Macaca mulatta: one gene and its partner. The protein of the gene in region 2 interacts with the protein of the main gene of each other region in a pairwise test. Links are inferred from orthologs where the notes say so. Each region holds a gene or a part of one and is shown on either strand. Other genes may lie near its edges.

Region 1 (3,750 bases), on a different chromosome or scaffold from region 2:
CCAGGAGGCAGAGGTTGCAGTGAGCCGAGATCGCACCACTGGGTAACTGAGCAAGGTGCCATCTCAAAAAAAACAGAGCAAGACACCATCTCAAAAAAAAAAAAAAAGAAAGAAAGAAAAGAAAAACTTACATAAAGGAAATTGACATGCTTTCCACAACCCTGTAACTGGCCTGCTGAGAAATCGCATGCAATTGTTTACGATTTTTGTGATTAATTCTCTTCATGGTGGTTGCCACTTATGTTGCGTTATCAGCACCAATAATGGTCCAGTTCTGTAACAGGTTAGCTATGACTACAAAATCACCATTTGTCTTTACAGCACTCTATTATCTCATCACTTGTCTTTCCTTTTAAATGACATTTGTTTTATGTGGTAGCTCATTTTGAGTCATGAATTGCAACATATGGAACCACTAACCAAGAAATAGTCTTGCACCTTTCCCTGTTAACAGAAATGGAGTTGAAAACTTAGCCTCCTGGTATTATTATTATTCTAGTTCTCTATATGATTGGAGGGAAATCAGATTTCAAGTTCTTGCCGCTTTCCTTATGCCTTTCACAGCAAATTTCAAAGTATAGCAGTAGGCAGATTGCAATGTAATAGCAATTTTTAAGCCCAGAAATTAAATTAAACCAGAAAGAAATACACCTACTTCTAGTTCAAATAGTGTTTCTTCCGGAAAGAAGAACATCTCCACAGTAACAGCGGTGACAATAAGAGTATTTTCATGAAGATCGGAGTTAGCAGGTTTATATAGATTGCAGAATACAGCTACTGTTTTCCAGAGAAACTGACAATCAGTGTTAAATGGTTAGGAAGGTCTCTGTGCTTTGGAGAAAGATATGGAATAGTCGGTGCAAGGGCTAATAGAGTGCCTTCTCAAATTGTTTTCAGTTCCTCCTCTTAAGGAGGAACGAAAGGCTGGTAAGTAATCCAATAGAAGCTTTTCCCTATAGAATGGTCAGAAAGTTTGATCATTCAAAAGAACATTATTTTACTGTAAATACATGTCTAGATTTCATGGTCCTTAATGATTTATGTTACATGTCTTCCCCCCTAACGCCTTTTTCTGTCGTGCATATCACAGAGTTTTGCTTCCTGGAATATCAGTGGAGAGGGTAGTCAGCTTGGCCCATATGAGGGAGGGGAGGGTTCTAGCAGCTGGAACGCAAGGTGGACTGACCAAGGGGGTTCCTTGGCCTGCCTGGAAAACGGTAGTTCAGACCTGGTGGGAAACATTCCCCTATTTTTGTCCATCTAGGGATCAACAGAGGCCTTGAAAGACTGCTGTGACACCTTCCAAACAGCCCCCAGGAAATCATAATCAGCATCTGCCAATGGATCTCTTCTGCCTGGGTTGAGCTAGCCAGGAGGGCCCCAGGGCAGGGTATGGTTTGTGGCTGCCAGCTGCCATGGCAGCTCTCTGCTGCCTCCTTCATCCTGGGGTTTTTGCCTCTGTGCTACCAAATGACAGGTAGGAGCTGCTAAGGATGGGCTCTCTGGACACCAAAGCAAGGGGCTTGGGGTCACAACTAAAGGCTGAGGGACATCTGATTTGGGCTGCTGCAACTGCAGTGTTTCTCTCTCTCTCTCTCTCTCTCACTTTTCTCCCGCCCTCCTCTCCACTCTTCCTGGCATTAATGCCTTAAAGACTAATACCACAACAGTGTACAAGAATCAGGATGATCTGGACCTGAAAGGCTGAACATAGGAGGGGCCTCCTTCATGAACATTTTACACCTAAGGAAATAGTACGTTTAAAACTAGATTCATCTGGCTTTGCCCAGGGGCCACCGGGACAGAAACTGTGTACGATTCATTCCTCCTTAAAGCAAGATTGCCAGGTAATTCTGTTGCAAAGTCATAGAGACCTTAAGTTATCTGCTCTGCAAACCCCACTGCCTCTATTCAGGCTGCCAAGGCACTGGTTTATTTTTCTGAAAGATTCACTGCGTCTTCTTGGATTTCAAGAAAAATCCCGTTAGGAATTGAGGGGCTCTCTTCTTCCCCTCCCGACATGAGTATAACTCACTTCCTGGCATGTCTCCTTTCCTTTTGGCCTACATCCTTTGTCTGTTAGGTGCTTCCACATCCTTATGTCTTAAATGACCAAAATACGTCACCCCCACTGCCAAAACACACAGGTCACTCGAGGTCACAATCTGGAACATAGGCCGGCCATTGTTCTGTACACATTCTTGATTTAAATCAATCTCAAACCTTGCTGGAATGCCCTGTAAACTGGGGCAAGGTATGGTCACCAGACTAAGCATTGTCCTTTTTTAACCTTCCAGTGATGGGGCTGCTACAGGCTACAATATTGCACTCTTCCTCCTAGCTACTGTTACCCTGAGATATCTGAGGTTGCAGAGCTAATGTTGCCTAGATTATTTTGCCATCCTTTTTTTTTTTTCCCTCCGGACATCATGCCCCCTATTTTCACTCTCTGGGAACTCTGCCAGTTTTTCAAGGACTGGGTAAAGAACAAAATAAATATTTGTAGGTGGTTTAAAAGGAGAAGAAGTATGTTGGCTGTAACTCTGCCCATCCAAAGAAATGCATTTTCACTGTCTTTCAGATGTTTTGAAGTTGTTAACTGGGAGAGCTTCAGAAGGTTGACTTTACTAGTTTACCTTTTGGATTTGTGATCAAGGGCTGAGTGTGTGTGTGAGTGTGTGTGTGTTTGTAAGTGTGTTGGGGAAGGGAGGAGTCTGAGAAAGTGAGGCAAGTAAGTAGAAACTTTTTTTAAAAAGTCCAGATTGAGTGATTGAAATCGACTGTGTGCAAATGACGCTAGACCTCTTCATAGATGTTAATCGGGCCCTAAAAAATTAGTGCCGGAAAGTGCTTACTTGCAGCACTCAGCATAGACCCTTTCTTTCAAATTGTTTGGGATTTTTTTTTTTTAAGGGAGTTCACTGAAATTTGGGAGGTTCGACAGGTTGCTGTTTCTTAATATGTGGATCACCCGATTTGGGAGGCTCACTCTCCCTCTGAGATTAAAGAGATGAGGGCACTGGCTCCCAGCGAAGGCTCCTGGCCTTAATCATGTGTGAAATGTTTTCCTTCCTGGGCTGCAGAGCCTCGGTGGTTTGCAGCGGTGGAACCAGGCAGGCCGAGCTGTGGGTAGGAGAGGCCGTCACCTGTTGGGGCCTCCCCCCTCGCGCCCAACCCCCGGCATCGCCCTGCCCTGGCAGAGCCCAGCCCCCAGTCCCCGGGGAGCGCGCCTGCGGACGGACGGACAGACGGACGGTCGGACAGACCTAGGGACGGAGGGCCAGGGGTAGGGGAGATCCAAGAGGCCCGGCGCTGGAATGCAGTTTTCTCCGGCGAGGGAGACTTTGCACCGGAGTGGAAAATAGTTTGGGGTGGGGTTTCGCACCGTCCCCTCCTCCCCAGCCCCGGGCCCCCTCCCAGGCGCTTTCTGGGAGCTTTTAGAACTGCGCTCTGAAGTTTCCAGAGAGCAAGGAGCTTTTGCGGCAGGCAGAGACAATGGAAGAAAATGAAAGCCAGAAATGTGAGCCGTGCCTTCCTTACTCAGCAGACAGAAGACAGATGCAGGGTAAGTAACAGACCCATTCAAAGATGGAGTTACAGGGACGCGTGCCCCTTGCCGCTTGCTGCTTTTTATAAACTGCAGCCCTGGGACCTGGCAAAGAAAAAAAAAAAAAAAAGGCAAATTCTTGAGATGGTACATTTTCCAAACTGGATAGAGAATAGAGAACTGTGATTTCTTAGGCTTGACTT
Region 2 (3,650 bases):
CTGGAACTGGGCAGTCTGGTGGCTGAACTCTCATGCTTGGCCTGTTAAATACTGGTAGAAGTGACCAGTGGTCTCTGCTGAACCACGCTGTGCCATCCCAGGAGAGCCGTGAACGCATTTCCCCATTGAAAGGAAACAATACAAATCCTGTCCTTCTCTCATTAAAGGAAAAGAGCCCACAATCTTCCAAGGACTTTGTGCTTTTATGTGCCCATTTATCCAGGAACCCACTCTGGTTCTCTCATGCACACATTCATTCATCAAATATTGACTGAGCACAGCACCTGCTCCGCGTTACTCACCATGGGGCAAACAGACAAGAGGAAGAGAGCACCGCCCTTAAGAAAGTTACAGTGTTGGTAGGCAGCTGGGTGGTTAGATAAGGGCACTAATAACTAGAACACAGAGAATGTACTCAGAGACACTAAGCACGAAAGTCCTGGCAAGGCCTTCACCCAGTGCTTGTGGGCAGAGATCACATTAGCTAGAGGGAAGAAGCTTCCGAAAGGCTACATGCAGGGTCCGCACCTCTCGGAGGGGGCTCAAGAGACAGACTTTAGTGGTGGATCAGGGCTTCAGCACAAATCACAGAGAAGCCCGTGTTTCTTGGGGGAGCAGCCGGGGACCCGCAGAGTCCCGTGGCAGGTACCTTGCAGTCACAGCCGATGGGCTTCCCACACTCCTCGCAGGTGTTGGCGAAGAGGGTCTCGAAGCACGCCACGCAGTAGGGGCTCTCCTCCCGCAGGATGTACTTCTTGCCAAAGAGAGATTCGTTGCAATGGTGGCAGTCAAAGCGCTCCGTCATTTTGACACCTGCCTTTTCAGCAACCTATCAAAAAGAAGGGAAAATCCAGGTCCCATTGAGCACTCTCTGAAAGAGATGCACGCAAAGACATTAACTGTCCCACTGTCTGCCATCTTTAGCTGAAAGGTGGTTAATTCCTCTGGATGAATAATTAAAACTCACCCTTTAATAGGTCATAATTTTCAATGATAACACCTTTTTTGTTTTCTTTTTCATTAGCTAAGGCAGTTTTGTGTTTGAATGCATTCACTTCGTGTTTTGTTTGTTTGTTTGTTTGTTTTGAGACAGAGTTTTGTTCTTTCATCCAGGCTGGAGTGCAGTGGTGCAATCTCAGCTCACTGCAACCTCTGCCTCCCAGGTTCAAGCGATTCTCCTGCCTCAGCCTCCCGAGTAGCTGAGATTACAGGTGCCTGCCACCATGCCCAGCTAATTTTTATAGTTTTAGTAGAGACAGGCTTTTACCATGTTGGCCAGGCTGGTCTCAAACTCCTGACCTCAGGTGATCTGCCCGCCTCGCCTAGCAAAGTGCTGAGATTACAGGCGTGAGCCACCACACCTGGTCACATTCCACTTCTTGAAAAGCACGAATTATTTTTTACTGTGTCAGAAAAAGCTATCTCAGTTTTAAATACAGGTAAGGGCTGGCACCAGAGCCCCCATCCTGTCCGGCTGTGACCCAGCCTTGCATCTTCCCCTTCTCCCTGCCCCCAAAATAGAAAGGCAGGCATAGAAATAATATGTCCATTTCTATAAAAAGATTTTCCATGAGCTCCTCTTTATGATTCATGATTTGAATAGGAAGAAATCACAGCGGCAAAAGGGAGGGAGATCTGACCTGGGAAACCTGAGAGTAGATGCAATGAGGCCACTATTACCCTTGACCTCCGTGCTGCATTGGGAGTGCAAGCTGACCTTGCACAAGAGAAACTGCCAAAGTCCCTGAGGATGAATCATTGCTCCCTATGGGAAAGATCATCCTGCAGCTGCCCAGGTATCCTGAGAGCAGGATAAAGGGAAAGATTCACTTCCCAAAACAATGATATGGAATAGTCAGAAATGCAGTGGCTGCAGTCAATGGCTCTCTGGGCAACACTTCAAGCCCTTTCAACAGGAACAAGACACTGGCGAGGTTGCGGAGAAAAGGGAACATTTATACACTGTGCATGGGAGTGTAAATTAGTTCAACCATTGTGGAAAGCAGTATGGAGATTCCTCCAAGAGCTAAAAACAGAACTACCATTTGACCCAGCAATCCCATTACTGGGTATACACCTAGAGAAATACGAATCATTCTACCATAAAGACACATGTACAGGAATGTTCATTGCATCACTTTTCACAATACCGATGACATGGAATCGACCTAAATGCCCAGCAATGACAGATTGGATAAAGAAAATGTGGTACATATACATCATGAAATACTATGCAGCCATAAAAAAGAATGAGATCATGTCTTTTGTGGGAACGCGGATGCAGCTGGAGGCCATTTTCCTTGGCAAACTAATGCACGAACAGAAAGCCAAATACTGCATGTTCTCACTTATGAGCGGGGCCAAATGAGGGAACACATGAACACAAAGAGGTGAACAACAGACACTGGGGTCTACCTGAGCAGGGAGGGAGGGTGGGAGGAGAGAGAGGAGCAGAAAAGGTAACACTTGGGTACTAGGATTAATACCTGGGTGATGAAATAATATGTACAACAAACCCCTGTGACAACAGTTTACCTATATAACAAACCTGCACATGTAACCTGAACCGAAAATAAAAGTTAAAAAAAAGGCGTCTCCACGCCCGGCACACTGCACTTTTCCTAGGATGAATACACGGTGTGCATAAGTAGCAAGGGACGGGCCCTTCTCTTATGACCATTCCTATAATCATGTCAGAATGATCCTGGAGAGAAAACGCCTACCACAGGAATAGCTGGTGTGGAGAAACGTCCGTAGGGCATTAAAAACAGACAAGTTTCTTCAGGAATAAATGGCAATATTCCATTTCCTAAAAGTGGAAAGTTTTCTCTGTTGTTAAATAGGTACACCGGGCTGGGTGCGGTCACTCACGCCTGTATTTCCAGCACTTTGGGAGGCTGAGACTGGTGGATCACCTGAGGTCGGGAGCTCGAGACCAGTCTGGCTAACATGGTGAAACCCTGTCTCTACTAAAAATACAAAAAACAAAACAAAAACCAAATTAGCCGGGCACGGTGGTGCATGCCTGTAATGCCAGCTACTCACGAGGCTAAGGCAGGACAATCGTTTGAAACCAGGAAGTGGAGATTGCAGTGAGCTGATAATGGCACCTCTGCACTCCAGCCTGGGTGACAGAGTGAGACTCCGTCTCAAAAAAAAAAAAAAAAAAAAAATAGGTAGACTGGTTGGCTATGTAACTGTGAGCAAGAGTTCACAGGCTCTAAGAACACTTGGTTCAATTTGCAGTCTTCAAACGATAGGAGAGTGAAATCCCAGAATCAGACCTTCTGATGCAAATAAAATATTATCGCCTGGTTTATGATTACAGGAAATTTGATAGAGTTTATTAATTTTGTACTATTGCATATACACGGTCCTGACAACTGTAAGCAAGGAAAAGATCATCTTTCAAGCATCCATTCTTGGATATTTCTGTGTTTACAGAATAATTCTCTTCCAAGAGCAATAAATACGCAGCTGGACACATGTGGCAAGATCCGTCCTTCTAAATCACTCTTCCTGGAGTTAAAGAAAACATTGCCTGGACATTCTTGTGATAACATCACAAGATGAGGCTCTTGAGCACTTGAATTATTGTTCTGAAACCCAACGTATAAATATCCTTTGTACCGCGGCCATCTCGGGTTGGA

Evidence for each region. The genes of interacting proteins can lie anywhere in the genome.
Region 1: the proteins of FHL2 (region 2) and KIAA1217 interact in binary tests that used the Homo sapiens proteins (3 or more experiments, as listed by UniProt). The two-hybrid records come from large-scale screens. The link is inferred for Macaca mulatta from reciprocal best matches to the Homo sapiens genes FHL2 and KIAA1217.

Annotation. Positions count from the first base shown.
Region 1 is NC_133414.1:25,647,305-25,651,054, forward strand, and holds the start of KIAA1217 (sickle tail protein homolog), read left to right. Parts: upstream 1-1,143; 5' UTR 1,144-3,495; coding exon 3,496-3,565; intron 3,566-3,750. UniProt on the Homo sapiens protein: Required for normal development of intervertebral disks.
Region 2 is NC_133418.1:13,489,956-13,493,605, forward strand, and holds part of FHL2 (four and a half LIM domains protein 2), read right to left. Parts: intron 830-3,650; coding exon 650-829; intron 636-649; exon of another isoform or gene 1-635. UniProt on the Homo sapiens protein: May function as a molecular transmitter linking various signaling pathways to transcriptional regulation. Negatively regulates the transcriptional repressor E4F1 and may function in cell growth.